Caenorhabditis elegans: one gene and its partners. The protein of the gene in region 2 purifies or fractionates together with the protein of the main gene of each other region. This does not show direct contact. Each region holds a gene or a part of one and is shown on either strand. Other genes may lie near its edges. The genes, in order: csn-3, ugt-49, rsp-3 and mrps-26.

Region 1 (8,936 bases), on a different chromosome or scaffold from region 2:
AAAAAATCTCAGTTTTCCCCTAATTATTTTTGAATTTCCGCCAATTGGATTTGTTCGGTGGAGCGCGCTTGCATTATTTTTATTAATTAATTTCATTTATTCTCGTTATTTGACTGATTTTCTTCATTTTCTATGTTTTTTCCTCGGAAAATGGAAGAAATAAACAGGACAAATGCAAAATGTTTGTTAAAAAGTAATTGAAAATGCGTAAAACTGTGATATTCTGAGTTCCGACGACGAAGCTCCTGAGATTAGTATATTTCACAGTTTTACGCATTTCCAATTACTTTTTAACAAACATTTTGCATTTGTCCTGTTTATTTCTTCCATTTTCCGAGAAAAAACCATAGAAAATGAAGAAAATCAGTCAAATAACGAGAAAACATAAAACAAATTAATAAAAATAATGCAAGTGCGCTCCAACGAACGAGTTCAATTGGCGGAAATTCAAATTGGAATTAGGGGAAAACTGTGATTTTTCCAATTTTCAAAAAATCATATAAAATCTAGAAAATTTTTTTGAATTTTTTACAATCATATTCGGTCATTATGACATCATAGGCACGTTTTAAAGCAATTTCCCCATTGAGCGTAGTCCACCTTTAAAAACTAGTTTTTTCAACAAATCTTTAATTTTTAAAAATTTTGGGATGAAAAATTGTTCACTTTTTCTGAAAATTGATCGAAAATCCATAGTTTTTCGAGATTTTTCCGCACAAAACCAAATATTTTCATGATTTCTTCAGTTTTAAACGAAAAAAAAAACGCTCCGAAAACGATTTTCACGGAAAAAAACTTGAAATTTGAAAAAAAAAAAACGAGTTTTAGACCAAAAATCACATTTTCTGAGCATTTTTCCTCTGAAAATTGCCGTTTTTCAGCCAATTTTCACTCAAAATTCTGGATTTTTAGCCAAAAATTCAGTTTTTCGTGTTTTTTTTTCAATAGAAAAAAAAAATAAATTTGAAAAAAAAACGAGTTTTAGATTAAAAATGCTATTTTCTGAGCATTTTTTCCTCTGAAAATGACCGTTTTTCAGCCAATTTTCACTCAAAATCCCGGATTTTTAGCCAAAAATTCAGTTTTGTCGTGAAATTTCATGGTTAAGAGTTTTCAAAATTCACTACAAACTTGCATGAAAATTTTGGTTTTAGAAACTGGGAATTTTTGAAGTTTTTCTTAGTTTTTCTGGCTTGTAAAAAGAAAAATCCTGAGATATTTCCTCTTTTTCTCGCAAAAATTCTTGCATAAAAAGTACTTTTTGAACGAATCCAAATGTTGATCCTGAACCGAGAACGCTGGCATTCCGACACAAATTTCGAGCAGGAAAAGAGCATCTTCGAAACGTTTAAGCTCAATGAGAATACATGCTCCATTGTAGAGATAATCAAGTACATATTTTGGATGAAGATGAGGATTATGTGCCACTGGCTGTGAACCGAATGCGGCGCCTTTCTGAAATAATTTTAAAAGATCCAGAAAAACAATTTGAACTGAAAAACCCAAAAAATTCCATATAAAATTTGTTCTTTAAACGAATTTAGTTTTTTGATGTTCATTTTTTATTCATATTTTTCGGTTTTTTTTATTTATAAACTTCAGAAAACTTTTAGTAATTTCAAATTTTATTTTTAAAAATTCAAGAAAACATTTTGATGTGGATTTACAAACCAGACTAAAATTTAATATAAATTTTTTTTTAAACAAATTTTTATATATTTTTTAAATTTTCATTTCATATTTTTCAGGTTTTTTTTGCAATATTTCAAAACTCAAAGAGCTCGAAAATTTAGTAATTTCAGATTTTATTTTAAAAAAAAGTTTTTTGCAACAGAAAACATTGAAAATGTCCCATTTTTGCGTTTTTTTGTCACTTATTTCCGAATTTTTCGGAAAAAAATATTCAAAATATAGTTTTCTTCAGATTTTACTGAAAACCCAATGCAAATGTTCAGAAAATCGCGTTTTTTTAACTTATAAAAATATTTTTGTAATTTTCGTTAACTTTTCAGCTTTTTAAATGTTTTTAAAACCAAGCAATTTTAAAAAAATTTAGTGTTTTGGAAGCTTTTTTGAAAAAAGTTTTTTGGAACAGAAAAAAATTGAAAATATCCTATTTTTGCGTTTTTTCGCACTTTTTTTCCGAATTTTTCGGAAAAAATTGGTTTTCGTAAGCTTTCACTGAGAATCCAGTGTAAATATTCAAAACAATCGTTTAAATATAATTATACATGTATAATTTTCGTTAACTTTTCAGTTTTTAAAAAAATGTTTTTAATCCAAAAAGAATTGAAAAATATTGTTTTTGGGGGCAATTATCAGTTTCTAGACATTTTTTTTCCAAATTTGCGTGTAAAAAACCTCAAAAAATGATGTATTTTCATATAACGTTTCTAACTTTTTTTCCTACAAAAAATACCCATTTTTAAAGGTTTTTTCACACGAAAATTTGAAAATATCCAAATTTCCAGATATTTCTTTTTTCTTCCATAATGCACCTTCATTCTTCCAAGAAAAACATCTCCAAAATCTCGTTCTCTATTATCACTCTTTTCCTGATCTTGAATACAATTCTCATTTGCAATCTCATCAACATGTAGATCAATAAATGGTTCAACAGATGCATAATCCTTTGTTTCAAGAGCACACGCAAAGAGCACACCGTGTGCAGAAGTGAGCACATTTGGAGCATTTGAGCCATTTCTTGGGAACATTGATCCGAGTGCTTTCATGATAATTCTTTGTCCTATTTCTGGTTTATTCTTCTTTTCCAAACAATATAAGCCGACGTCGCGGAGCAGTGGGAAAACTGAAAAAAAAATTTTTTTTAGAGGGAAATTGGAAAAAATTACATTTTAAAAGTTAAAAAAAAATCAAATTTTCAGTTAAATTTTCAATTTTTGCCTAGTTTTTCTTTAAATTCGAGCTTATTTGCCAATATTTTTCAATTTTTCTTGAAAGATTTTTCAATTGCTCCATTCAAAAAGTGAAAAAAAAATCTATGGAAAAGTGACTTTTTACAAGAAAATCGTTAAAATTTGTCATTTTTTCACTAAAGAATGCATTTTCAGACAACTTTTTTCTGTGGAAAAATTCGGATTTTCGAATTTTTTTGAGGACGAAAAATTAGGAAGTTCTTAGTTTTTTAATTTTCAGTCTGAAATTTATAGATTTTTGAGGGAAATTGAGAAAAAAAAAATAAAATTTAGGAAGAATTATAGGAAGAAGGAGAAATTTTCAGTTAAGTTTTCTATTTTTGCCTAGCTTTTCTCTAAATTCAAGTTTTTATTTTTATTTTCCTTTGAAATCCGACGTCTTTGACTTTCTGCTTTAAAAAAAAACGGAAAATTCGGCGAAGTGAAGCTGCATTTTTCTCTTTAAATCTAGATTTTTCGCATAAATTCCATGTAAATCATCCATATTTTCCAGTTTTTCTTCTCAATTTTATCTAGAAACTCACTAATTTCAGGTACAAGCTTCAAATGTCCTCCAACAAAATTATTCTCATCAACATAATGATTGAGAAGCTCAACAGCTCGATCTGTTCCAGTTTCATTATTTTTTGCAGCCGACGTATCAAACATTCCTTTAATTGCAGCAACCATTGCAGCTGAACCAACATTTGGACTACAATGAAGCAAAAATGCTTCAACATCGTTCGATTTCTTTTCGAAAAGCTCTTTATTCTTACGAACAATTCCAGCGGCCAGTTCACCAACATTCTCTGAAACTAAATACGGGAAATTAATGCGGAATTCTGGAAAAAATAGGCTTGACGGTATCCTTAAATTGAATTTTTTTTTAAATAAAACAAATTTTTTAATAAATTTATTTTAAAGCGGGATTACAGTTTGTGGGTATTCTGCTTAAATAGACTACAACTGGTCCAAAACCACCGAATTTAATAATGAAACAAAAAATTTTCAACAATTTTGTATGGATTTTTGGTTGAGGCTTAGGATTTTTGGGTGAGGATCAGGATATTTCGTTGAGGCTACCATGATTTTTGGTTGAGGCTAAGGATTTTTGATTGAGGCTCAGGATTTTTGGTTGAGGCTACCAGGATTTTTGGTTGAGGCTAAGGATTTTTGATTGAGGCTCAGGATTTTTGGTTGAGGCTACCATGATTTTTGATTGAGGCTCAGGATTTTTGATTGAGGCTCAGGATTTTTGGTTGAGGCTACCAGGATTTTTGGTTGAGGCTAAGGATTTTTGATTGAGGCTCAGGATTTTTGGTTGAGGCTACCATGATTTTTGGTTGAGGCTCAGGATTTTTGATTGAGGCTCAGGATTTTTGGTTGAGGCTCTCAGGATTTTTGGTTGAGGCTCAGGATATTTCGTTGAGGCTACCATGATTTTTGGTTGAGACTCTCAGGATTTTTGGTTGAGACTCAGGATTTTTGGTTGAGGCTACCATGATTTTTGGTTGAGGCTAAGAATTTTTGGTTGAGGCTCAGGATTTTTGGTTGAGGCTACCAGGATTTTTGGTTGAGGCTCTCAGGATTTTTGGTTGAGGCTCAGGATATTTCGTTGAGGCTACCATGATTTTTGGTTGAGGCTAAGGATTTTTGATTGAGGCTCAGGATTTTTGGTTGAGGCTACCATGATTTTTGATTGAGGCTCAGGATTTTTGATTGAGGCTCAGGATTTTTGGTTGAGGCTACCATGATTTTTGGTTGAGGCTAAGAATTTTTGGTTGAGGCTCAGGATTTTTGGTTGAGGCTCAGGATATTTCGTTGAGGCTACCATGATTTTTGGTTGAGGCTAAGGATTTTTGGTTGAGGCTAAGGATTTTTGATTGAGGCTCAGGATTTTTGGTTGAGGCTACCATGATTTTTGGTTGAGGCTCAGGATTTTTGATTGAGGTTCAGGATTTTTGGTTGAGGTTCAGGATTTTTGGTTGAGGCTACCATGATTTTTTGGTTGAGGCTCAGGATTTTTGGTTGAGGCTAAGGATTTTTGGTTGAGGCTTTCTGGATTTTTGGGTGAGGCTCTCCGGAATTTTGGTTGAGGCTACCATGATTTTTGGTTGAGGCTACCATGATTTTTTGGTTGAGGTCAAAATTAAAAAAGGCATATTAGTGCAAAAATCAGAAATTTTGCCCAGTTTTCTTTGTCGCAGAGACTGTAATTCAACTTTTCTGAAATTATCACTTTTAATTCACATTTTGGTAATTTATCTTGTGTAAATTCATTGATTGAGACAATTTTTAAGCGAAGAGACATCCAAAAATGATAAAAATTGGATGCCTCACGGTTTAAAATTGTCTCAATCAATGAATTTACACAAGATAAACTAATAAAACTTAGATTAAAGAGTGATAATTTCAGAAAAGTAAAATTCCAGTGGCTGCGACAAAGAAAACTGGGGACAAAGAAAAAATTTCAGATGTCAGCAAAATTTGGCTCTTTTTTTTCGGAATTCGATCCCTTTTCAGATGATATTCATCAATTTTTCACGAACTTCTACGAGAATTTCGATGGGTTTTTGAATGAAATCATTCAAATTTCCCGAAAATTTCAGCGAATAAATACATTTTCAAGTTGAAAAATTGAGAAAATCACTAATTTTCTTCTTTTTCCAACAAAACCCTCCAAATTACCATGTTTTTCACTGCAAAGCTCATTGATCGCAGCACACAATGACTCCATACTACCAAGATCCATTCCAGAAGAAGCTGCTGCAGACGATGATGATGAGGCTCCCGTGAAGAGCTTATTGAAAAAAGCTGAAAAAGCTTTTCCGATTTTTTTAGAAAATTTACAGGTTAAATAATAAACTTACTTGTCATGATCCTTTTGTGAATGGGATTTTCCTGTGATATCTGAAAATATTTACATTTTATCGTGAAAATGTGTGACAAGAAACGAGTAAGAGAAGATATACGAAAAAATAAGAGAAAATTGCACAGGGAATGGCGATTGGTGAGAAAATTTAGAGAAGAAACCGAGAAAAATATAGAAATTGAGTAAAAATCGAGCTTGTACAGGAAAATACCGAGAAATTAGTGAAAAATGGGTAAAATTTGGGGAAAAGAGAAAACTTTGCTAGAAAATAGAGGGAATCACGAAAATTTTAGGGTATTTCAGTTCAAATATCACCGAAAAAGCACCGTGTCAGGCATAAAACGCTGTTTTTTTGAAAATTACTTATAGAAAATACGCTAAACAACACGCGACGCGTAACATCGGAGCATCGTTGTCACGCTTTTCTTCGAGAAAAATAGCGTTTTATTCGTTGGCACGGTGCCAATTTCGGAAATTTTAGATCCAAAATCCCAGCTGATCTTGAATCCGTGGTGCCTCAAAACAGGTGAAATTCACAATATTTTCCTGCTCGGAAAAATTTCGAAAAAAAAATCGACAATACGGGGATTTTTCGAGAAAAACTGTGAGAAATGCCCTAAAAAAATGCAAATATTAGCTGGAAACGAAGAAATTTGGGTCAAAATTATAGAATTTTCAAATTAGAAAATGCGTGAAAAATTCAGGAAACATGATCGATTCAAGACGAAAAATACTCCTCGTCGTTATCGATTTTTTCAGTGCGTTGATTTTGAGAAGCGTCGTAAAATGGTACGGTATCGAGTGCAGAATGCATGTCAATCATATGAGTATTCATCGATTCGAATAATCGTTCGATTTCTCGTTCTTCTTCTGAATCATCCGAATCCGACTGAAAATATGGGGAATTTTAGTATATTCTAGTATTTTTGGATTTTTAGTTGAGGCTCTCTGGATTTTTGGTTGAGGCTTTCTGGATTTTTGGGTGAGGCTCTCCGGAATTTTGATTGAGGCCCAGGATTTTTGGTTGAGGCTCTCATGATTTTTGGGTGAGGCTAAGGATTTATGGGTGAGGCTCTCAGAATTTTGATGATTTTAATGAAAATTTGAGTTTTTTAAAGGTAAAAAGCTATTGGAATATTGCATTCAGCGAGTTTTTTTTATTTTTTGCAGCGCTAAATATCACAAAACAGATATTTTGTGATTCCTGGGACCGTTTTTTGGGACTTTCTGCTTTTTTTCAGATTAAAAAACTGGCGTCTGTCGCATTTTTTGTTAGTTTTTTGAGAGATCTTCGGAGTCGTTTAGCTAGAAAATAGACTGAAAATCGGATTTAAAAAAAAAGGAAAATCCTGCCAAAAACACATTTTCTAGATCACATTGAGCTTTTTACATTCCAAAAATCCCGATTTCTTCGTAAAATTGCACAAATTAATCCCTTTTTTATGGAAATCCGAATTTTTCCTTACAAATTCAAAATTCTCCTTGACACTCCTCGCTTGTTTTCTCTTTTTCCTCCTAGCCGACTCAATTTCATAAACTTGTAAATGAATATTCGACACATCTTCATGCGCTTCTTTCACTTTTCCCAACGCAGAAATCTGTGGAGCATCTAGCCATCGGAGCTCACCATTTCGAAAATCTTCCAGTAGTTTCAGCATTCCTTTCTCCTCGAATATCATACTACTGGGCTCCAGAGGCGATGGAGGCTCCCGAACAAGAGTCTCTGTCATTGTATTTGGATCCCATTCGTACATATCTGCGTCTCCTTCGTGTCCGAGCACTTTCTCGTCCAGAGTTCTCGATTCAAACCATTTTTCCTCGGATTCCGGGCTTATAAGCTTCTCGGGACGCTCCACGTGCTCTTCTTCCTCCTCTTCAACTATTTTCTTCTCCTCACGGTCTCCGCGCGTGAATCGATGGAAGAAATTAGTTATGGAGTTTGTAGTATCCTTTCGTTTGCGACCAATGTCCTCTGCCACTTTACTAGGCCGCAATTTCTTTTTGTCCTGAAATTTATTTATTGAAAATTAATTTTATAAAAACGTTTTTGCCTTGCTAGTAACTGTCAGATCATCGATGGACTCCGAGAGATCTTCGGAAAGCACAAAAGACGTCGATAGTGTCGTCGAAAATCCCAATTGATTGTTGAGAGAACTCTGAAAACAATTCAAAATTTTTTTTTAATTAATCGATTTTTCTGCCCACCTGCTCTTCATCCACAACTTCCACTTTGACGGGCGGCTCCGTGCCGTTAAACCGAATATCACCAGATTTCGGTGATAAACTCACGTCTCTAGACATGTTTTCGGGGGAAAACTAATTTTTTTACGAAATAGATTAAAAATTAGCAATTTCGAGTTTTATACTGGTTTTCAGTGGTAAATATTAGGAAATATGAGTAAAATGTGATTTCTAACAAGTATTAAATGGAAAAATCGTTAAATTATCGGGGAAAAAACAGGAAATTTCAGGAATAAGAAATGCGCTGAAATTTTGTTTACAAAATTGGTTCCTTCGAGAGGAGTACACGGCGCGTGGCCGAGAAATCGTGCTGGCGGCCGCGTTATTTCGGAGCGTCGTTTGATGCGAAATTACTTTTTTCTGAACTTTTCAACGAAAATTTCGACAATTAAGAAAAAAAAACGTTTATTTAAATATTTTTAAAAGAATTACAAAATTATGCACAATATTTTATTATTACTTCTACTTCTTCACGATCCTTTGAACCCATTCTCTCGGCAGAAAACCGCCTTCCGTGATTCCACGTGCCTCGTCTTTTGAGATCATCGCAACGCCTTGCTTTTTGAAAGCCATCTCAGACTCCTCGATTCCCTTCTTCGTTAGTCCAGCGCTGCATTCCGGGATCACGGCGGCAAGGAAGTTCTGCTTCACAGCGTCCTGAAAATTTAAAGTTTTGAGGTGTTTTTAAAGGTGGTGTAGTCGAATTTTTTTATTACCTTATTAGACTCAAAATTGTCTGAAAACACCGAATTTCATAATGAAACTTTTTAGAAAAAAGTTATGACGGCTCAAAAAATGGCTTAAAATTAGTTAAAATCGGAAATTTGACCAACTTATCAATGTCGCAGCGGCTGGACACAATTTTTTTTTGAAATCACCGTCAAATTTTGAGTATACAAGTTGATTTC
Region 2 (8,222 bases):
GGTTTTACAACAAAACTTGTTATTCATAATCACCCACCTACTGTATAAGATACATGTAATGTGCTTGTCTTTTCAGACATTAATTTCCTGTAAACTACGTTTTTGAGACGATATAAATATGTGACAAAGAAAAACAATAATACCAGAAAATTTAAAGATTCATTGTAATAAACCATGACTGGCTATGAATAATGCCACCTTCCAGGAAATTTTCATTCATTTTCTTGAGCTTTTCTGCTGAAATTTTGGTAGATTATATCTCATTAGAATTGCGGTTTTTGTCTAGTCGACTAATGTGATTTGTTCCAGGAAAATACTACAAACAATAAATTTTTAGTGGAAGAGCAAAAAGTTAGAACAGTATTTAATAAGTGGCACAGAGTGATAATGTCAGATCAGTCAATATTTGAAATTCAATTTTCTTGATCTAATTGTCACGTATTTTAGCAATAAAACAAATACGAAAGTTGTTAAAGCCAAAAAAGATTTGGAGCATAACTCAGAGTTTTCGAATTACAAAGTTAGTTTCCATTTTTCTGCATACTCTTCCATATTCTGATATCACAAGTATTTAAGTACATTCTCTCATTTGATCCCCCGCGAAGATTACGGAGCTCCTCCCCTTTCTTGCTATAAATAACGCTCACATCGACAAAAATTGTTAATATGATCATGTTCACAGAAGCTGAAGTTATGAGTTTTTCATACGCCGTTGATTTTGGAGTTCCCGAATGGCTCAAACTTTACTATCACGTCATTTCCGTGGTGTCAACTGTTATTTCATTTTTCTCAATGTACATAATTTTGTTTCAAAGTGGGAAAATGGATGGATATCGATTCTATCTATTTTATATGCAGGTATTCCATAATTATAAAAACAACTATTTTTGATACAGTTTATGCATTTTCAGTTTGCTGGATGGTTGATGGATCTTCATCTATCTACTTTTATGCAGTTCATTCCATTATTCCCAGTTTTTGGAGGATATTGTACTGGACTCTTGACTCAAATTTTCAGAATTGACGATTCATTTCAAACGGTAGCAATATCAAATAAAATTTATTGAAAAAAAGGAAATTAAATTTTCAGACATATACTGCATTTACCATTTGCTTGGTAGCCAGTGCTTTGAATAGTTGCTTTGTTCGGAAGCATCAAGCAATTTCTAAAATCAGCTCTAAATATCTTCTCGATAATGTTACATACTGCATTGTTATATTTCTACTCAATATATATCCAGTTATTGCTGCATCTTTACTTTATTTGAGCATGCTCAATAAGTCCGAACAAGTTGAATTGGTGAAATCGGTAATTGAATTCAAAATTAAATTCACGAATAATTATTTTTGTTTTGCAGGTTTACCCAAATCTCGTTGATAAATTTGCAAGTCTACCAAACTACGTGGTATTTGATTCCAATATATGGGCAATTGTATTCTTTGCATTCATATTTTTTGGTTGTACATATACACTTGTTTTGATTGTCACAACTACTTATCAAATGTTCAAAATATTAGACGATAATCGAAAACATATCAGTGCTTCAAACTATGCAAAGCATCGAGCCACTTTGAGAAGTCTTTTAGCTCAGTTTACAACGTGTTTCTTGATTGTTGGTCCAGCGTCTTTGTTCTCTTTACTGGTAGTTATAAGATATGAACATAGTCAAGGTATATATTATAACACGGCATTCAATATAACACATACTATTTCAGTAGCAACACATTGGACCATTGTTGCTCTAACTCTCCATTCCAGTGCAAATGCAATTGTAATGGTTATCACATATCCTCCATACAGACATTTTGTAATGCTATGGAAAACGAACAGGTTCGAGTGTACAGGTTCTAACAATTCAATAACCAAATATATTTTCAGATCATTCCACTTCGCATCATCTCAATATCAACGGTCTACTCTCCCGAATACAAGAATTCAAACGGAGCGAAGTATTGCAGTAACAATAACAACCCATTAACTTCTAATTTCCCGAGTTTCAAACTTGTAAATAAACTTTTTCGTCTTTTGATGATACTGTTTTATTATTTCAAATTGAAAGTTCCAGATCTCTTGAGCTTCTGTGATTTCACTCATTTCGATAACCCGGAATCGAAATTTTACAAAATTCATATTGCAAAAATCCGATTAAATTGTTCATTAATTTTTTAATCCACTTCCGTTTTTTTCAGATATTTACAGGGCATTTGAAATAACAAATACAATTAGAATTTTGACAGACGTCAATAGATTTCTGTGTTTTGTATTAGATTTCGTATTTTATTAGCACAATTCGAAGTTATGAACTTGAGATATGGCAATACTTCAAAATGAGAATTTTTGCAGCCAGCCAATTCTTCTAGTATCTAGCACATATGATGTTCTCAAATCAATAGGACATTCAAAAATATTTCAGACAAAGAATATTTCAGACGAATGGATTACATTTGTAAAAGTTCAATGAATTCAACAAAATCAAATTATTGAGACTTCGATATCATATGGATATTTGGATTTTTTACATTTTGAAACTTCCATAAAGGCAGCAAACTGTATTTCTCCAATTAGTACATATTTATTTTTCATTTGGTCTTATTGAGTGCCTGTTCTGTTAAGAAGACTGTTAAGACTAACAAAGGATATATTACGATTTTGAGACTACTCATTTTTGGTACACCAATCGGAATTTTAAGTAGGAAGGCACCAAAAATAGGGGCGAAAAATGAGACTATAAACTGATAAAACATATGTATTGGAAATCTTTGGATTTTTGCGGTTTGGTGTTGCAAAAGTAGCTATTAGAGTGCAGTACTAATAGGGATTTCAATGAAATTCAGTAATAAGGTAGCTAGAGTGTATGCGTTACATGTTCTGTATACATCTGAAATATATATTTCAGATAGGAAAGCTGTTTGTATTTGTTTGCAGAGAATAACCCGAAACCCTTTTCAAAGTTCAAAAATCGAATAAGTTATTTTTCGAAGGTTTACTACATTTGGGATTTTCTGAAATCATTATTGTCAGGACCTGAGACTAATAGTAAGGATGTACCAACTTGGCAGATAAGATATGATTTACAAGTGTAGGTAAATGGTATATCTAATAAATAAGTGACAGTCCATAATAGGAATTTGATATCTTATCTATACTTGCAGAAGATTATAGAGTTTTTCCATCTTATTTAGACGCGTATGTTTCTTCCATACTCTTCAACTTTCTAACTCATTTTTTCATGATATCAAAACTTAAGAATTAAAAACCTGAATTTTCGTTCTGGCATTCAGGAATCATACCTTACCCCACAAAATTCCCTCGTTTGGTAAACTTGTTTCATGTTTGCCAACAAAGTACGCCCAAACATTTTTCTCAGGATCTTAAAATCGCTCAAAAATTCCCATAACCATTCTCGCCGTGTCACATGTAGTTCAATTATTACAATTCACAACAACCATCTGCGTCTCTCTCGTATCAGTAATCTATTCTCGGGTTCTACCTATCAAACAATCTTGTTCCCGTGTCATTTTCTATTCTTGTCATCAGTCACTATTTGTCCAAAAACTGTCAATGTATCAGTGAATGGTTGTGTTTTCTCTGTATCACCATCTAATTCTTATGTCTAACCACTACAAGCACTCACTAGAAATAGTCTACAAAACACGGTATTTTTTAGAGTAGATGTTTCGACCAATAAGTCAAAATACTGTCGAGATCATTGTTGAATCAATTTGTGCCAGACGACATCTGCACTATTTTTTTCCTAAAGAACAAGTTACGAACAAAGTTCTCCCATAATGCTTCATTTCCTTTCAGTATTAAGAAGTGAAGAAACCAATTTTTTAAAAATATCAAAACTTAAAAAATTAAAGACCTGCATTTTAAATTTTTCTATAAAATATGGGTTATTCGAGTTTGTAAAAGTGAACCATCAAATGTAATTTCAGATTTCTCATTTTGTGATTTCGTAGGTGAAAAAATAATTTTCATATATTTTTTGTTCTTCATTCTCCAATGAATTCTGATTCATTGAAATGAAAATTGTTAGGGTGCTACTGTCTGCCATTTCTCTCCCTTCATATTTCATTTCTGTTTCCGCTGCCAATCGTTCCATGATTCGATTATTTTTTTCATTTTTCACTGTGTGTTTCTCTTGTTTTTTTTAATTTTTATTTTGTTGAATTTCTAGTACTATTCATGTGAAAACGTGGTTCTTTGTAGCTTCTTGAATTTTATCGACCTTTCACTAAATTGATAAAGGTTCGATGAAAATGGGTATAGAAGAATTTATAGATAAGACACACAAAGTGTTTTTAACAGTAAGATAATTGTTATATTTCACGTTCGTATTCGATTTTTCGAATGTGCATTCTATTGAATCTTTTTTTTATTTTCAGTAGTTTCAGGAGTTGATAATACGTGAATTTGAACGTTTTGAATTTCAGATCCATCTTGGGCATGTATACCTTTTTATTTCTTCTCCTATCTCTTCTAGCAGTTGATGCAGGAAAAATTCTTGTGTACAGTCCATCCATAAGTCGGAGTCATTTAATTTCAAATGGAAGAATTGCTGATGCACTCGTTGACGCAGGTCACGATGTTGTTATGTTCATTACTGAATATGAACCATTAACTGAATTCACTGGAACTAAGAAGGCTAAAGTTATCACTATGAAAGGATTTAGTGAGTTATGATTTGACTCTAACAACACTAAAAACACTGTTTCAGGTACAAAGTTTGCTGAAGACATGGATGGAATCGGAGAATACCTATTATCGAGCTCCAGATTAAGCTTTTTGGAAAGATTAATGTTTGAGAAAACGTGCACAGGCGCGTGTGATGGTGACAAGACCCAATATTATTTTCGAAACATTTTTTAAAATTTAGATTTAATGACAAGACGCGAGGAATTAGAACAACTGAGAGCTTACAACTTCGACGTGGCATTCAGTGAACAAATTGATTTGTGTGGAGTTGGAATTGTCAGATATCTTGGAATTAAAAATCATTTATGGATTTCAACTACACCAATTATGGATGCAGTTAGTTATAATTTGGGAATTCCAGCACCAAGTTCGTATGTTCCAACAATCGAAGAAAATGACAATGGTGATAAGATGGATTTTTGGCAGAGAACTTTCAACTTGTATATGAAAATTGGTTCAATCCTTATTCATAGATACGGAACTGATGGAACTACAGAGGTAGTTTATTTTAATTTAACCTAAAACTAATCTTTTTCACTAATCACAGGTCTTCCGTAAGTACATCCCAGACTTCCCAAATGTCAGAGAAATCGCTGCAAACTCTTCACTTTGCTTTGTAAATTCCGATGAAGTACTTGATTTACCAAGACCAACTATCACAAAAGCAATTTATGTCGGTGGATTGGGAATTCCAAAAGTTAGCAAACCACTTGATAAGGTTACACAATATTTGATTTTAAAATTATCTGAATATAGTTTTTTAGAAGTTCACAAACATAATGTCAAAAGGAAAAGAAGGTGTCGTAATCATTTCACTTGGTTCAATCATACCATTTGGAGATCTACCAGCAGCGGCAAAGGAAGGGGTATTGCGTGCAATCCAGGAAATATCAGATTATCATTTCCTTATTAAAATTGCCAAAGGTAAATAATTGACGGTTCCAGAGTACATCGAATAGTGCAGAAGCTTCAGAAGAATTTAAAAATAAATCCCCCATAGTAATTTGTCAAGATACTAATTTTTTGCAGGCGACAATAATACCAAGAAATTGGTCGAAGGAATTAAAAACGTGGATGTAGCTGAATGGTTACCACAAGTAGATATTCTTTCTCATCCAAGATTGAAGCTTTTTGTAATGCATGGAGGAATTAATGGATTAGTTGAAACAGCTATCCAGGCAGTTCCAACTGTAATTGTTCCTGTTTTTGCTGATCAATTTAGAAATGGACGAATGGTTGAAAAGAGAGGAATTGGCAAAGTTCTTCTGAAATTGGATATTGGATATGAAAGCTTCAAAAACACAGTTCTAACAGTTTTAAACACTCCAAGTTACAAAAAAAATGCGATAAGAATTGGGAAAATGATGAGAGACAAGCCATTCAGTCCAGAAGAACGCCTTACAAAATGGACACAATTTGCAATTGATCATGGCGTTTTGGAAGAGTTACACGTGGAAGGATCAAGATTAAATACAATTATTTATTATAATCTTGATGTTATTGCTTTTGTCCTATTCGTGTTCGTTGCTGTTCTTCACGTTTTCATTTATGCTTTCAAGTTTCTGTGCTGTAAGAAGAGATCTCAGTCGAATATTAAAAAATCTAAGAAAAATAATTAGCTGATATTTATAGTCTCTTTTAATAAAAATATTAAAAATAAATGTTATTTTCCAGTAGGTGTTCAGGTGAATTAAGCATACAAGACTTAACGAAAATAGAAAGTAGACTTTAATCTTTTCTACAATGTTATGGCCTCATTCTAAAAATTTTAAAAGCGTCAATGTGGTACCGGCCGGTATTTTTTCGGATTCCAGACAATCTGAAGTCTGGCTTTTGAATTTCTATTTGTTTCAAACTGTTTGTGGCCCAAAACAACGGGTTAAACGAATCGTGCAAGAAACGGAAATTCCAGACAGCTTAAAAACATCTTCCACTGCTAGATTTTTCAACCAATGCCTTAAAATTGAAGAAACCACTTTCTACCATCAATTAGTGTTCCAATTATTATCATCTTTTTTCCTGTTGAAAATAAAACATTCTGCGTTTACAAAGCACGACATTTTTCTGCCAAAAACCGTAGTTGACAACGAGTAGCACACCGCCAGAATGAAAAAGTTATATAAATTGATAAACTTCAGGTTGTATACTTTTCAAATGTTCTGTCTTATTATATTGCGGTTCAGTTCTAATCAGTTTTAAAGTATTTTGGAACCCATTTTAAATTTTTATTCTAAAAAATTATTGATTTAGAAAAAGTTGCAGGTGACTGTTATGACCTTATTAGTTATTCTTCTCCTTCTTCTTGTTCTTTTTCTTCTATTCTTGTGTACAGTCCATCCATTAGTCGAAGTCATTTAATTTCAAATGGAAGAATTGCTGATGCACTCGTTGACGCAGGTCACGATGTTGTTATGTTCATTACTGAATATGAACCATTAACTGAATTCACTGGAACTAAGAAGGCTAAAGTTATCACTATGAAAGGATTTAGTATGGTGGTACGTGGATTGTTAAAATTTGATTTGAAATTCAGGTGAGAAGCACAATGATAATTCAATGGACGATATTGGGGAGTACCTTATTACTAATCCAAGAGCAAATTTTTTGGAAAGGATTATGTACGAAAAATGGTTCTCTGATATTTGTGATGGTAATTTGTTTCAAAATTTTGAACACCAAATCGAATATTTTAAATCTAGATTTAATGGCGAGACGCGAGGAATTAGAACAACTGAGAGCTTACAACTTCGACGTGGCATTCAGTGAACAAATTGATTTGTGTGGAGTTAGAATTGTCAGATATCTTGGAATTAAAAATCATTTATGGATTTCAACTACACCAATTATGGATGCAGTCAGTTATAATTTGGGAATTCCAGCACCAAGTTCGTATGTTCCAACAATCGAAGAAAATGACAATGGTGATAAGATGGATTTTTGGCAGAGAACTTTCAGCTTGTATATGAAAATTGGAGCTATCCTTATTCATAGATATGCAACTGATAGCACAACAGAGGTAATTTGGTATATCTAGCAGCGGAAAATATGTTTTTGGTTACAGGTTTTTCGTAAGTACATCCCAGACTTCCCAAATGTCAGAGAAATCGCTGCAAACTCTTCACTTTGCTTTGTAAATTCCGATGAAGTACTTGACTTACCAAGGCTTACTATTACTAAAACTATTTATGTTGGTGGTCTAGGGACTCCGAACATAAGCCAACATTTGGACAATGTAATTTTTTAAATTTAGATTGAGCTACATCCCGAAACCAAAATTATCCAGGTATTTGCCAAAATAATGTCCAAAGGAAAACGAGGTGTTATAATAATATCGCTAGGATCATTTGTGCAATTCGGAGATTTTCCAGTTAATATTAAAAAAGAAGTGTTCCGTGCAATTAGTGAATTGTCAGAATATCATTTCCTAATTAAAATTTCCAAAGGTAGATTTTGAATTTATTACAACAATGCAAGATAATTCATTCAAGATGACACGAACACTAAAACGTTGACCAAAGAAATA
Region 3 (7,699 bases), on a different chromosome or scaffold from region 2:
GTGGCATGATTACGGAAGATTGAGCTACCATCTCTCCATGCTCGTGATAAAATTGAGCCTGTAGCGACACCCAATAGGCCAGCCATGCATGTTATGATTCCGAAGATTAGATTGATTCTGAAAATTAAATAATTTGGAGGTGGAGTGGTGTCAGAATTTTTTTTTGCTTTAAATGGCAGAAAATAGACCGTAATGGGCCAAAATAACTGTAAAAAATAATTTTTTTCAGCAAATCAGCAAATTGCCGGAATTCAAAATTTCCAGCAAATTGGCAAATTGTGGTTTTGTACATTTTTTTGGGAATTTCAGAATTTCAATTTTAATCGGCAAAATTGTATGAATGTTCCTACATCTATTTTGAAAACTTAGCGAATTCTATGAAAATATCTAAAGAAAACAGGCAAAAATTTCAAAAAAGCACCGTTCTACGTGTTTCGGTCATATAAAAACCCTATAAGCATTTCCAGCAAACCGGCAAATTGCTGAAAATTAAGATTTCCGGCAAACTGGCAAATTGCCAGAATTTAAAATTTCCAGCAAATCGGCGAATTACCGGAATTTAAAATTTCCGGCAAACCGGCAAATTACCGGAATTTAAAATTTCCAGCAAACTGGCAGATTGCCGAAAATGAAAATTTTCGACAAATCAGCAAATTGCCGGAATTTAAAACTTTCAGCAAACCGGCAAATTACCGAAAATGAAAATTTCCGTCAAACCGGCAAGTTGCCGGAATTTAAAATTTCCAGCAAAGCGGAAGATTGCAGGAATTTAAAATTTCCGGCTAACCGGCAAATTGCCGGAATTTAAAATTTCCGGCAAAACGGCAAACTTCCGGAATTTTAAAATTTCCGGCAAACTGGCAAAATGCCAGAATTTAAGACTTCCAGCAAATCGGCAAGTTGCCGGAATTGAAAGTTTCCGGCAAACCGGCAAATTGCCGAAATTTAAAATTTCCGGCAAACTGGCAAATCGCCGGAATTTAAGATTTCAAGCAAATCGGCAAATTGCCGGAATTCAACATTTCCAGCGAATCGGCAATTTATCGGAATTTAGAAATTCTGGAAAACCGGCACGTTGCCGGAATTTGCCGGAAATTTTTTTTATAAATTAATTGTTATTTTTTCTTATTTTTTTAAACCAATTTTCCATGTTTTCAGGTGCAATTTCACTTTAAATTTGAAAAAAATAAATAAATTTAATGCAAATTTTCGATTGAAAATATACTTAACAAGCGCAAAAAATAGTCTTCAATTAGATTTTTTTCTCAAAATTTTCACACAAATTTTCGACGAAATCACGTGCAAAAATTGTGTTGTCATCTAAAAAAAAATATTTGTTTGAATTCAAAAAACCCTACTGTGTAAGCTCCGTCTCCGGTACTTTTGGCACATTATGAATAACTGCATACGAGAATCCAACGTATTGTGGAGTCCACCAGCTCATTGTTCCAATTGAGAAGAATGAGGCAATTGAGGCGGCCGAGGCGAGGTAGAATGTTTTACTACAAATTATTAATATTTTTTTTGTTAAATAACTTTTTCTAGCGATTTTATTCATTTACTTCGAAAAAATTTCGATTTAAGAAATTGAATTTTGTAATTTTCTTTTTAAAAAAGTTTGAAATTTTTTTTTCAATTTGTTTCGACAAAATCGAGCCAAAAAAATAGAACATTTTTAATTTTTTGCTTCAAAACATGTCTATGGTACCACAATGACCAAATATCATAGTAAAAAAATTTTTTTAAATTTTCTAAACTATATGATTTTTTGAAAATTGAAAAAATCTCAGTTTTTGCCTAATTCCCATTTGAATTACCGCCAATCGTTCGATGTTCGATGGAGCGCGGTTGCCTCTGTTTTAATTTTTATTTATCAATTTTTCTTATTTTTGATTGATTTTTCATGTTTTTTCGAGTAATTTTACTGGAAATTTAATGAAAAATTCAAGATAAATGTAAATTTTTCAAGCCTAAATCTTTGAAATAGATTATTTCAGGCTCAACGTCGTTGGAAAATGTTCTTTCTCTGTTTTCAATTATTTTTAGTGAAAAATTTACATTTATCTTGAATTTTTCATTAAATTTCCAATAGAATTACTCGAAAAAAAACATGAAAAATCAGTCAAAAATGAGAGAAATTGTTAAATTAAAATTAAAATCATGCAAGCGCGCTCCATCGAACATCGAACGATTGGCGGTAATTCAAATGGGAATTAGGCAAAAACTGAGATTTTTTTCAATTTTCAAAAAATCATATAAAATTTAGAAAATTTTAAAAAATTTTTTTACTATGATATTGTGGTACCATAGACATGTTTTGAAGCAAAAAATTAAAATTTTTCTATACACCCTATTTATTCTCCTGATACCGAATATCAATGTGAAAAAATTAAATAGAAAAAAATCCCTGATTTTATATTAATTTTTTTTAATCCGAAAATCCATTGGCTACCTATTGTTAAATTAAAATATTCGAATTTCAAATATTTTTCATTCATTTTTTTAATTTTTTAAATTTTCACAGCGATTTTCTCGTTGTTTTACTTTGAAATCCTAGTGATTTTCCATTAATTTGTAACTTTATTAATATTTCATGCAATTTTGGCTGTTTTAATTGATAAAAAGTCAGAAATTAATGGAAGTCATGAATTTCAACGCAAAACAATGGGAAAAGATTGAAATCGATTTTGAAATTGATATGAAAACGGATACCAATGGATTTTGGGATTTTAAAAAATTAATATAAAATCAGGGCATTTTTATTGAATTTAATTTTTTTTTCAAATTTTGTCCGAGTAAATTTTTTTTTTTTAAACAATTTTTTTGAATTTTTTTCCTAATAAAAACTAACATAGACGTAACATAGTTTTATTGCTTTAATAGACTCAAAATTGTCTGAAAATGCCGAATTTAATAATGAAACTACTTGAAAACTTCTCAAAAAAAAGTTATGATGGCTCAAAAAATGGCCTAAAATTAGTTAAAATTTGAAATTTGACTTGTTGCAGCGGCTGGAAACTAACTTTTTTGAAATCACCGTCAAATTTTAAGTATAAAATTTAATTATCTCGCGTTTTCAACTTCATTTATAGGTATTTCAAAGCCGATGGACGGCGAAATTTGGTTTCAAAAATTAAAAAATCTCGCTGTCCATCGACTTTAAAATACATAAATGAAGTTGAAAACGCAGGATAATTACATTGTATACTCAAAATTTGACGGTGATTTCAAAAAAAAAAATTGTTTCCAGCCGTTGCGACAAGTCAAATTTCAAATTTAAACTAATTTTAGGCCATTTTTTGAGCCGTCATAACTTGTTTTTTGAGAAGTTTTCAAGAAGTTTCAATATAAAATTCGGTGTTTTCAGACAATTTTAAGTCTAATAAAGTAATTTTTTAAAAATATCCAACTACACCACTTTTAAATTGTTAGTAAAAAAAACTATTAGATCATTTAAATATAAATTTTTTAATCTCAAATTTTCGAATTAAAAAAAATAAAAATATAGAGACGCATTTTTTTAAATTAAAAATGAATTTTTGTTGCTCGAAAATGTCGAAAAAATAGTCCCAAAAACTTAAAAATCACACTATTTTTGAACTTTTAAATAAATTTACACTTTAAAAAATTCCGCAGCAACGCATTTTTTTTCTTCAATTTTTCCGATTTTTTTAATCAAAAAAAATTCTGATAATAAGCACACTAACATGGACATCAAGTACTTAATATCGCCAATCAAATCAGCTTCATCTCCATTCTGCCGTGCTCCATCACAAGCTCCCCTCACTGGTTCATCCAACAACCATAACATCAATCCAAGACAAGCTATTCCAATAATCGGAGAAAATCGAACACCCCATTGCCATGAATCTGTTGCCTGTGAAATACTTGACCCAGAAATGAATCCGAGACCACTTCCAACTGGAATTGCAAAATAGAACATCATCAGTACTCGACTTCTGAGGCCACCACTGAATAGGTCTGATAGGACGGTTGGAGCGATTGTGGAGTACGAGGCTTCTCCGATTCCAACAATTCCGCGGCACAGGAGAAACAGGTAGTAGTGCTAAAATTATTTAAAAATTAAAAAAAAATCAATTTTTTAGGGTAAAAAAACGCATTATTCACGAAAAATTGTCCCAAAAATCACCATTTTTTGCCCATTTTTCATTGAAAAAGTTTCTCAATTATCGCCTTTTGCATGTTTTTTTTTCCATTTTTTTCAGGTTTTTTAAAGCTAAAATTATGGCTCAGGGCCTGCGTGAAATCAAAGAGCATAAGGCGCAGATTGAGGCAGGCGAAGGTCACCTTGAGGTCAGGCAGGCAGGCGTTTCAACGCCTACCTGGAAGCCCTATCTTAAATGGCCGGAAATCAGTATTTTTTGGATTTTTCAAAAAAATTGAAAAAAAAACTCCATTTTTTCTGATTTTTGGACATTTTCCGCTTTTTTAAGAATATTTTTCACAAAAATCAATTTTTTGGAGAAAAAACGCATTATTCACTTGAGGGATTTTTCAAAAAAATTGCAAAAAAATTTTTTTTTTTTTTTTTAGTTTTTTCTCAGAATTTTGGACATTTTCCGCTTTTTTAAAGAATATTTTTCACAAAAATCCAAATTTGTGTTCTTTTTTTGGTGAAAAATGCATTAATTGCCCCAAAAAACTCAGATTTAAATTTTTTTTCTTCAAAATTTTGAAGCACTTTTTTTTTTGATATTCCAAAAAATATCTTAGAATTTTGGTAATTTTTCCGCTTTTTATAGGAATTTTTTTACAAAAATATTCTTTTTTTTCTCTTTTTATTCGATTTTCGCGGCAAAATATTCAGAATTTGTGTATTTCCAGTGAAAATTTGCCACAAAATAGCATTTTTCGCATGATTTTTGCAAAAATTGCCAAAAAAAGCGTTATAAACGTCATTTTTTATCTTCTCTCTTCTCGGTGTCATTATTCCATTATTGGATTGACCTCTAGAGCCTTCCCATCGGGCTCATTGACCTCCAGACCGCGATTTTCCCGCGTTTTTGGCTCCGCCTTTTGATCTACCACTGGAAGTGGGCTCAGACTGTCTTAGTAATTTATTCCAACATTATTTCCTTTCTATTATCGTTTTTTTCCCTTTTCCCTTACCCCTTCCCCACAAAAAGACGATGCAAAGACTGCTAAAATCCATATGCAAATTCCAGTGATCATTAGCATTTTTCGATTGTATCGATCACCCAAATATCCGAATAATGGCGCGAAAAACATGTAGAACACAATGAAAACTGTCTGAAATTATTCGGTTTTTAATTAATATTCCACAATTTTATTCAATTTTTACTTGCAAAAGGCCTTGCCCCTTATCGTCGATATCGAAAAATGTTGCAAGCCGCGACATAACTCCCACGATTGTGTATCGATCCATGTAGTTTAGCAGGTTTACGAGAAGCAGAATGGAACAAGTAACCCATTTCTTCTTTCCAGCAAGTCGGGAGGCTGAAAAAATCAAGTTTTTCGATTTAAATAATTAAATTTTCGATTAAAAACTCACCAACGTCCAAACCACTGCCTTCCTCAATTTCATTTGGCATTTAGAATTTCTGAAATTTATTATTTTTTCTTATTTTCTAATAAAAAACCGAAAACCACAAAAAATAAAAAAATACGTGACTAAAAATAACGCAGGCGCGCTCCACCGAACTCGTTCAAACTTGGCGGGAGAATGCTCATATGACGCGTTGCGGTCGCGTCGCGGTCGTTATTTTTTCGAAAACGAAGGCCGTGGCACACTCATTTCTTGTTTTTTCAGACAATTTTTATTATTTTTTCGAAGAAATGCTTGAGAATATTCATTTTTCTAAATTTTACTCGATTCTGGGTTTCTTTTCAGTCAAGTAAATGCAGTAATTTGAAGGATTTTAGGCCCAGTATTTTTTTTATTATCAATAATCTTCAGTCGCCGATTTTTTGCAAATAATCATAATTATTTCTTCATTTTCAGTGTACTAAACATGCCACGCGGCGGCTCAGAGGACCAAAAAGTCTACGTTGGCAACCTGCCAGGAGACGTCCGAGAGAAGGAAGTCGAGGACATTTTCCACAAGTATGGCCGCATCAAGTACGTCGATATCAAGTCAGGACGTGGACCGGCGTTCGCTTTCGTCGAGTTCGAAGATCACAGGTTCGTTTATTGATTTCAAATACTTTAATTAATCAATTTTATTCCAGAGATGCCGAGGATGCGGTTCGTGCTCGCGATGGCTACGAATTCGATGGCCGTCGCATTCGCGTCGAGTTCACTCGTGGAGTCGGACCACGTGGCCCAGGCGGTCGCCCACTCCAAGACGGAGGTGATCACCGCGGTGGAGACTTCCGAGGAGGACGTGGTGGTGGTCGTGGAGGTGGACCTCAGAGAAGAACCGGATACCGAGTGATCGTTGAAGGTCTTCCACCAACCGGGTCGTGGCAGGATCTTAAGGATCATATGCGTGATGCTGGAGACGTCTGCTATGCGGATGTGGCTCGAGATGGAACTGGAGTCGTCGAGTTTACTCGTTACGAGGATGTCAAGTACGCTGTTCGCAAGCTTGATGACACCAAGTTCAGATCACATGAGGTGAGTTTTTACTATTTTTGAAACTATAAAATAAATCAAAAATTGAATTAAATTTTTCTTTTTCAGGGTGAAACTGCCTACATTCGCGTTCGTGAGGACAACTCTTCTGGAGGCGGAAGCGGTGGTGGTGGCCGTGATCGTAGCCGTTCGCGCTCTCCAAGAGCCGAACGTCGTGCTTCGCCAAAGTACTCACCTCGTCGTTCTCGTTCCCGCTCTCGCAGCCGTTCCCGCTCTCGTTCTCGCTCGGCCAGTCGCAGTCCATCTCGCTCACCATCTCCACAATAAAGAGACAGCGTCTGATTCTTGAAACGGTATCGTTTTGCAATTTGAGTCGTCTGACAGAGAGTTCTGATACAACTATATCTTGCTAATTTCTTTTTTTTTGTGCTGTTTCTAATACAATTCCATGCCTCATGTTCTCCTGTTTACACACACCTTTTTCTTTTTATCGATCTTTTTGGATATATATATCCACAATTTCTTCTATTTTTTATCACCTATCCTTAATTCAAACAACCACATCCAAGTATTCATCAGCCCCACCTATTATTATTCAATAATTTCTTTTGTTGGAGGAACCACGAATAAAATGTTTTGTTTCAGCCTCCACTCCGCTTCATTCAAACTATTGGAGGAAAGGAGGAGGACTCTATAAGGAGGGAAACTAAAGGATCGCTGGACGATCAAAAGCGGGGACACACCATATCGATCGAGGATCGAATCGGTTTTTACACGATTTTCGAATCGACACACACACACACACACACACACTAGGACCCCCGGAAAAAGGATTTTATGGGAAAAGTTTTGGATTTGCCCCCTGGGTATTGTTAGGAACATAATTTAGTTAAATTTTGACCTGACGAGAGTAAAAAGAAGGAAAAATTTTACAGTTTTGGGTTCGAAAACCCCGAAATCTATTAGGAAAATCCCCTCGAATATGAGAAAAAACTAATCCGCCATGTTCAGGTGAGCCGGTGACCCGCTTCCCGGCTCACAAAAATGAATCAGCCAGGTGAGTTTCGACTTGGAATTTCGAATAAAAATTTTGAATTTTTGACTTGTGTTTTTACTTTTTTAAATTATTATTGAAAACAGAAA
Region 4 (8,155 bases), on a different chromosome or scaffold from region 2:
GAAAGCTATGTTGTAGGAAAAGTATGGGGGGTTTTTTTTTTAATTTTAATTACTTTTTCGAAGAACAAGCCCTTTATTCTTAAATTAAAACCTGAAATTGTCATTTTTTTCAAGATTTCTCCATGGATCGACTGTGACTCTTCTGATCCAGCCTTTGCCTCGCTTTCCGAGGAACATCTTCTGAAAGAGCTCAGCTACATTTGTTATTTGGGTCTTCAAACGATGGCAATCGAGCTCACACGCATCTCGTCGCCTCGTACTGCTGCCATTTTGAAAAAATGGATTTGGACTAGAAATTCGCGTTTTACGTAAGTAAAATGCAATATGAAATAGCTCCTTTTTTTCAGTAAAATATTTTTTAAAAAAGCAAAGTTTATATTTATTTTCAGTGTTTGGGTTCAACTTCCGTCTGCAATTGAAAAGTGCAAAGATTATGACGCTTTCACAATAGAACATGTTGATTTATGGACAATTTGGGCCGATTTCCGGAAGAATTGTGGTAATTTCAGTGGTGTTTATTTCCAAGTGGCTTTGACGATCTCTTCGGAACTTCCCGATGAGCTTACTGAGCTTAAACTTGTGGACCGTTGGAAGGCCGAGCCCCTAGCAGCTTTTGTTATCGAATCGGGTCTTTTTATTTCTGGAAGAAATGGAGAAGCATCAATTCCAAGGTAAATTTCAAGATTACATTTTCAAATAAATACTAATTTTTCAGTGCCCACATAAATTTATTAAAACATCTATGGACAACTGATGCACTTCGGATCGTTCTTCGTGCCACAACGGATACATTCAAGTACAATACTTCTATCAAATCCGAGTATTCTCAAGCTCTTCGTCATGCAGTTCGAAATGTTAATTACCGAAGTCGTCCTGATGTTGGAGAAGGATCGAATGACTCCACTCATTATCTTAATGTTATCGAATACAAAGATGTTTTGCAAGCACCTCTTCAACCATTGTCTGAAAATTTGGATTCAGGAGTTTATAATACATTCGAGCAGGATCAAATTAAATACGACGTGTATGGAGAAGCTGTAGTTGGAGCATTAAAAGATCTTGGAGCTGACGGAAGAAAAACTGTTGTCATTTACTTGTTGGGAGGAGGACGTGGTCCTATTGTGAGTTTTTGGCTATTAAGTAGAAAAAGTCCCTTTTAATTCGACATGAAAACATATTTTGTGGCCAATTGAAAACACTCCACCCCCTGACCATGGGTCTCGTTTGGAAGTTGGCGACAAGCCGGAAATTCAAACATTTTGCAGTTAATTTTGCCAATTGTCTGAAGCGAACTGCAACATTTTTCAATTTACAGTTTTTCGGTCTAAATGAATATCAAAACGGGCATTTTTATGCGTCTCCATAGTTTTAAATATTATAAATTTCAATTTTTTTCAGGGAACGAAAATTCTGAAATCTGAAAGAGAATACAACAACACATTCCGACAAGGCCAAGAAAGTCTCAAAGTGAAGCTTTATATTGTTGAAAAGAATCCAAATGCAATCGTCACTCTGAAATATATGAATGTGAGAACATGGAAACGACGAGTAACGATTATTGAAAGTGATATGCGAAGTCTGCCGGGAATTGCGAAAGATCGTGGATTCGAACAACCTGACATAATTGTTTCGGAACTTCTTGGAAGTTTTGGAGATAACGAGTTGAGTCCTGAATGTCTAGATGGTGTCACTGGATTTTTGAAGCCAACAACAATTTCAATTCCACAGAAGTACACTAGCTATGTGAAGCCAATAATGAGTACTCATATTCATCAAACAATTAAAGCTCAAAGTATTCCTTATTTGAGTCGTGCAATTCCATCGCATGGTAGAGGTGAACCGGAATTGGATGAAGACGAAATGTGGATTCAAAAATACCCGTTTGTTTTTCAATTTTTTTATAAAAATATAAACATTCTGCCTTATTACCCCGATGCCAAATTTTGCTAGTCCCGGTCTCGATTAGACAAAATTTTTAAAATTAAAAAAAAAATTCAAACAAAAATCTTTGTTATATGCGAAAACGTGTGCACCTTTAAACTATACTGTAATCTAAGACTTGTTGCTGCAGAGTTTTTATTAATTTTTTATAGTTTTTTTTGGTTGGCATTTTATTATTTTAGTTTAGTTTTGATAAATTGATATTGATTTTTATTTAAAAAACTATGAAAAATCATGGGATATTGAAATTACAGTACTCTTCAAAGGTACAAAAAGTTTCGTATTAACGAATATTTATCGTGTAGATACCGGGTACCGTAATATTAGAAAAAGTATCGCTAAAATTCATGTTGTGGTAATAAATATTTCTGAAGTTTTCTACTCTTGTGTACATAAAGGCCCTGGCCGAGTACACGGAGGTTTCTAGGCCATCTTTTCTTGACGGGAGTATCCGCTCCACAAGTTATGCTTCAATTTACTCTTATTTTAGAATAATTTTTAATTAAAAAAAAAGCATAAAAACTTTTTTTTTAAATTTTAATAAACATTTTCTTTCAGACAAGGACATGTTCGTAACAATATGGATCAAATCTACGTTGTATATCTTTCAAAATACATTCCACTTGCCGAAACCACCAAACCAGTATTCACATTTGAACATCCAAATTTCATGAATTCAAGCAATGAGAGAAGCGATTCTATTGAATTTGTTATGGATAGAAATGCAGATGTAAGTTTTTCAGCAAAAAAAAAAAAAAAAACTTAGAAATTCTTAAGAAAATTTAAAAATATTTTTTCGTTGATTATTTGAGGTAATTTGCTTATATTAAATGCAAAATTCGCACAAATGACAGTCCACCTTTGAAAATAAAACAATGAATTGAAAAATTTTATTGATAAAATATGTGTTTATTAAATTAAAAATCAAATAAGTTAGAACCTAATTTATTTCAGCTGATGGGATTCGCCGGCTACTTTGATCTTCAACTCTACAAAACCGTGATGCTTTCAATTGAACCATCAACTCATACACCTGGAATGGTCAGTTGGTTCCCAGCTGTTATTCCACTTAGAGATCAATTGAGAGTTGGAGAAGGTGACAGAATTTCTCTGAAAATCGATCGAAAAGTTGACAATACTGGTGTGTGGTACGAATGGCATGTTGAAAAAAAGGTAACAGTTTTTGATAACTTATTAAGATTATAGTTGAGTTTTTTCCAGAAAACCAATGGCGAATCTGTGAGCACCCCGATCCAGAATCCAAATGGAGAGAGCTATTACATGAGAATGTAGTGCCTAGTTTTTCGCTTTTATAATTATTATTTTCCTGTTTTAATCCTAATTGTTGATGTGTTATTCACTTTTGCGCCCCTATTGAATTTCCCAATCATTCCTAGAATTTTTTCCGTTGGTTTTCCCATTTCCTGTTGCCCATTTTCCGGTTCATTAATTTGAAGATTCTTTTTTGCTCCGGTATCTATCGCGATTCGATTGTTGCTCCTTTTAATTCGATATTAATTGTTTAAAAATTCAGTTTTTAAGTTTCCGTTAATTTTCCGAATTAAAGAGCTTGTTTTATTCTGTTGTTTTTTTGTAATTTTGAATTATAGTTATTAGTTTTCATACTAAAACATATTTTTATAGAGATTTTAAAGTTTTCCCAATTATTTTTCATTTAAAAATATTTTCAGAATGTTGATAAACAGTTCTCGTTTATCAATTTCTTCAACGGGACGATGTCTTTTGGCATCTGCCATGTCACAAATGGACGAAGTATTCGGAGTACAGAAGAGACAAATGGGACGACGGCAACCAAAGCAGGGAAAACCACCAATTTTGCCTCCATCGAAGAAAGTGAGTTCTATTGATTTTTTCACTAGAACAAAAATTGGAACATAAAAAAATCCAATTTTTGCCGAAAAAAATGCGCCAGCGGGGCTTTTTCCCAAAATGACAGAAAATGTCTCAATATACCGAATATAACTGTTAGAAAATTTACAGTATTTTTCTAACTCCTTAAAAATGGGTTTTTTCAGTCTTGCAACAAAAAAACGTGCAACTTTTTATTGAAAAATTTAGAAGAATTCTATAAATTTTTAACAGTTTTAAATTTTGTTACTCTTATCTATAAATTCACAAAATTCAGGTTCTCTACCACGTTGTGCATGCTCCATGGCAGAAACCAGAAGATGTCGAGGAGCTCCTCTGGCGTCGTCATGCATACAACAATGCAGTTATTTCACTTCGAGAAGTATTCCGTGCAGAACTTGCTCAAAATGCATCTCATGGTCAGGGTATCGAAGCAATGAAAGAAGCAGAAGCACTTGAATTAGACGAATTAATTGCTCAAAATGAGAAGCGGAATGAAGAAAAACGGGCGGCACGTAAAGAACGAGAAGCCGAAGATGCGAAGGAAACAAAATCTGTAATTTTGGAAGAAATTCGAGTTGAATTGGAGAAAAGAAATGCAGGCAAAAAGCAGGCAGAAGATGAAGTTAAAAATGCAATTTCTCGTTCAAGTGAATTCATTACTCGTTCAAATCTTGAAACTAAAATTCTCGAAGCACTCGAAAAGCCAACAATTTACGATTTTGCAATTGATCGGGCTGGGAACAAGTATTTCGTACCTGAACCAGTTAAATATCAAGAAGGAACACCAACTCGACAAAAAGGACGATTGTATGATCAGACATTGGGTACACAACATGGAACTATCGAAGAAGCTAATAAGATACAACAGAAAAGTGTTTAGAGGACATGATGTGAGTTATTTTTGAACATCGAAAAATAAAAATAATAAAAAAATCTTCTAATGTAGTAATATTTTTGTTTTCAAATTTTTGAATTTTTTGAAGAAATGAAATTTTCATCTCTGGTAATTTCTCTACATAAAAATCAACTTTTTTTGATAAGTCTATAGACTAGACTACTATATTTCCTTACAATTTTTTCCAGTTTTACGAATTTCAATTTTTCAGTTCGAAAATCGAAAATTTTTCGACGACATCCATGTTCAATATAAACTTGTAGTTTGTGAGAAAAAAATATGAAATAATTGGAAAAGTGTTACACTTTTAAATATTTTCTGTAATCAATATTTTCGTTTACCTAATAATTTACTTTTTTTATTTCAGATTTGCCATTTCCCCAACTGGTCATCATCATTCTTCCCAAAAGGGACAACATTGTAGTCTACACACATTTCTTCCTAATTCGGATGATAACACTATAAGATAACTGTTCTCTGTCTCCGTCTCTTGTTCTCTCTTTCTCATTATTTTTTTTTGTATTCTATTTCCCTTTTTGAGTTTATACAAATTATATCAATTTTTGTTTTCTTTTTCTCTGTTTCAAATTCCAGTTTTCTAGACATTTTCCCTTTAGATAGACTTTTGCTGTTATAAGTTTTTGATTTTTTTCATAAATCTACAATCGTTTCATTTTACTTTCTTTAATTTGACTGTCTAAAATATTCGGATTTCAGCCGGTTGAAAATATCAGAAGAATGAACACATATGTGGCTGAAATTGGGGAAATTGTGAGATCTCAGCGAAGAGATGAAGAGTATATTGAAGATATTACAGAAAGATTGAGCAGGGTAATTAAAAAATTAGATTAGATTTTTTTTTTGAAAATTACGGTGCCTGGTCTCGACACGACAAAATTTTGTTAAATGTAAAAGGGCGTGCGCCTTTAAATTCAAAGATTACAGTAATTCACAATCTCTTTTTGCGGAATTTTCACAGATTTTTCCACAAACACATGACATTTAGAAAATAACTTTAAGTAACAACAATCGGTTGAAAATTTAAGAAACTACAGTACTATTTAAAAGCGCACACATTTTAGAATTTAACAGAAAATTTGTCGCGACGAGAATAATCCAATTACACAACAGGAATAAGTCAAATTGCCAAACTGTTTTTGTGATAAAAAATTAGTTATTTGAATTTCTTAAATTTCTAGGTCAGCAAAGAGCTTCTGGGCCAACGTACGTGGATTCGGTGGTTTCCGTATTTAAAATCCATCGCATCGACTCTTTATTATACGAGCACAGTTGTATTAGGTCAGAATATTAATATTTCAATCATAAATCAAGAAATCCCATTTTCGTTCAGGAAATCAAACTCTTGGCGAGGAATACGTTCATTTATTTGAATCAAACGGTCTTGAACGAACAGTTCCATCGATTCCATCACGGATTTCTTTTGTTCTTCTTCATTCAGCATTTCCATTAATTTCAAATTATTTGATTCAGGTGATTTTCATAGTTTCTTTTTGAAAATATTTGTGAAAATAAGTTTACAGAAAGCAGAATCAACACTTACACATCCATCAACTGAATCATTTCTTGGAATTCCGATTCGAAAAAATCAAAAAGCTCGTCAATCATTTCTTGACGTGTTTTTCTGGTTGAGAACTAAACTTTTTCCACAACTTCAACGTGCTCATATTGCTCTTTTCTATATAACTGGAGCATATTATAGCATCGCCAGAAGATTCACTGGAATTCGATTTTTATCAGCCAGTGCTCATTCGGATATTCCTGTACGTTAAGTGGATAGTCTCATTTTGGGTCCCGGCACGAGTGAGACTTTCCAGCTACCGTACTCCCAATCTAGATAGATTTTCAAAATTTTATTGGGTTTCATTACCCAGACGCGAATTATTACAGTAGTCTTTAAAGGCGCACACATTTTTAAATTTAACAAAAAATTTGTCGTGTCGAGACCGGGTACCGTATTTTTGCCACAAAAACATTAAGCTTTTCAATATTTAAAGTTTTCAGGCGCTGAAAGTTTATCGATTCCTTGGTTATATAACATTAATTCAATTGGCAGTTAGTATTGGAATATCATTATATTCATTTCTAGAACAGGAGAAATTCAATAATAAATTGAAAAAGGAGAAAAAAGAAAACAACGGAGGATCGGATAGGAATCTAGACGAGAATTCGGTGAGTTTTTCACGAGCATATAATAATTTTGAAATAACAATTTCTTTCAGCTATTTCATCCAACATTCCAGTGTTCAATTTGTCTTGAAAACAAGAATCCATCTGCTCTTTTCTGTGGACATTTATTCTGTTGGACGTGTATTCAGGAGCACGCAGTAGCTGCCACGTCATCCGCTTCAACTTCATCTGCTCGTTGCCCACAGTGTCGATTGGAATTTCAACCTCGTGACGTCACGCCTTTACTTAATTTGTAATAATGATATTTTCTGGAAAATTCACTTCGCATCTCTTGAATTACGGGTTTAAGGTATTTTGTAACAAATTTGAAGAAAATGAGAAATTATGATTTTCAGCCAAATAATCTCCGTTTACTTTCCACTTCAACTCATCCAACAATATATTTCACTGGAATACAACCAACTGGAATTCCACATCTCGGCAATTTCTTTGGATCTATTGAGCCATGGACTGAACTTCAGAATTCTGTAGATAAGAATATTCTTATGATGTTATCTGTAGTTGATCAACACGCTATTTCACTTGGACCACTTCCAGCAAATGAGGTTGGGGAGAAATTTATCAATTTTTTCGTTTTTTTTTCGGAACAAAAATGTTTGATTTTCCGGGAAATCGAAGAAAAATATGTATAGAATCATTGGAAAACGGAAATTTTAGATTTTTAGATTATTTAAATAGAAAAAGTAACAATTTAGTATCGAAAAAAATAATGTTTTTTTTCTATTGAAAAATTATTTTTCAAAACTATAAATAAAATATTTTTATTTATTTTTTAAAAATCGAAATTTTTGATTTTTCAATTTTACGGAAAATCGAAAAAATTGAACAAAAAACAATATATTTAAACTTTTTTTTTCTTTTTGGAAAATCTAAAAACAAATGTTTAGAAAATTAATAAAAAAATGTTTACAGCTCCGCCAAAACACTCACCAAATGACAGCAAGTCTTATTGCATGTGGTGTTGATCCAAACCGAACTCTCCTTTTCCGACAATCAGATGTTCCTCAAATTGCCCAAATTTCATGGATTCTTGGTTCACTTCAAACAACTTCAAAACTTGCAAGACTTCCCCAATATAAAGAAAAAAAAGAAAGATTCAAAAAAGGTGATATTCCAGTTGGACTCCTTACGTATCCTCTCCTTCAAGCAGCTGATGTTCTTACATTTAAAGCCACAACAGTTCCAGTTGGAGAAGATCAAAGTCAACATTTAAATCTTCTTGGAGGACTTGCTTACGCA

Evidence for each region.
Region 1: the proteins of ugt-49 (region 2) and csn-3 fractionate together in Caenorhabditis elegans (co-fractionation; one large-scale study listed by BioGRID). This does not show direct contact.
Region 3: the proteins of ugt-49 (region 2) and rsp-3 fractionate together in Caenorhabditis elegans (co-fractionation; one large-scale study listed by BioGRID). This does not show direct contact.
Region 4: the proteins of ugt-49 (region 2) and mrps-26 fractionate together in Caenorhabditis elegans (co-fractionation; one large-scale study listed by BioGRID). This does not show direct contact.

Annotation. Positions count from the first base shown.
Region 1 is NC_003282.8:191,634-200,569, reverse strand, and holds the start of csn-3 (COP9 signalosome complex subunit 3), read right to left. Parts: upstream 5,829-8,936; 5' UTR 5,793-5,828; coding exon 5,786-5,792; intron 5,730-5,785; coding exon 5,604-5,729; intron 3,731-5,603; coding exon 3,461-3,730; intron 2,810-3,460; coding exon 2,499-2,809; intron 1,456-2,498; coding exon 1,259-1,455; intron 1-1,258. Other genes in the region: intk-1 (INTaKe), read right to left, coding at 6,506-6,676, 7,254-7,793, 7,839-7,943, 7,993-8,088; pnc-1 (nicotinamidase), read right to left, coding at 8,491-8,685. UniProt on the Caenorhabditis elegans protein: Component of the COP9 signalosome complex (CSN), a complex involved in various cellular and developmental processes.
Region 2 is NC_003283.11:10,367,890-10,376,111, forward strand, and holds ugt-49 (UDP-glucuronosyltransferase), read left to right. Parts: upstream 1-4,431; 5' UTR 4,432-4,450; coding exon 4,451-4,676; intron 4,677-4,721; coding exon 4,722-4,835; intron 4,836-4,880; coding exon 4,881-5,197; intron 5,198-5,246; coding exon 5,247-5,417; intron 5,418-5,463; coding exon 5,464-5,623; intron 5,624-5,728; coding exon 5,729-6,318; 3' UTR 6,319-6,372; downstream 6,373-8,222. Other genes in the region: sri-20 (Serpentine Receptor, class I), read left to right, coding at 667-858, 912-1,040, 1,091-1,309, 1,359-1,671, 1,717-1,831, 1,880-1,979.
Region 3 is NC_003281.10:12,686,201-12,693,899, reverse strand, and holds rsp-3 (putative splicing factor, arginine/serine-rich 3), read left to right. Parts: upstream 1-5,983; 5' UTR 5,984-5,993; coding exon 5,994-6,163; intron 6,164-6,210; coding exon 6,211-6,598; intron 6,599-6,664; coding exon 6,665-6,883; 3' UTR 6,884-7,199; downstream 7,200-7,699. Other genes in the region: spin-4 (Major facilitator superfamily (MFS) profile domain-containing protein), read right to left, coding at 1-117, 1,359-1,502, 3,708-4,066, 5,131-5,271, 5,324-5,478, 5,534-5,573. UniProt on the Caenorhabditis elegans protein: Plays an essential role in embryogenesis.
Region 4 is NC_003281.10:5,230,985-5,239,139, forward strand, and holds mrps-26 (Small ribosomal subunit protein mS26), read left to right. Parts: upstream 1-3,632; 5' UTR 3,633-3,633; coding exon 3,634-3,795; intron 3,796-4,087; coding exon 4,088-4,693; 3' UTR 4,694-4,703; intron 4,704-5,075; 3' UTR 5,076-5,380; downstream 5,381-8,155. Other genes in the region: prmt-5 (Protein arginine N-methyltransferase 5), read left to right, coding at 1-21, 115-308, 390-671, 716-1,121, 1,399-1,880, 2,500-2,671, 2,896-3,114, 3,163-3,234; prx-10 (Tryptophan--tRNA ligase, mitochondrial), read left to right, coding at 7,155-7,205, 7,252-7,461, 7,829-8,155.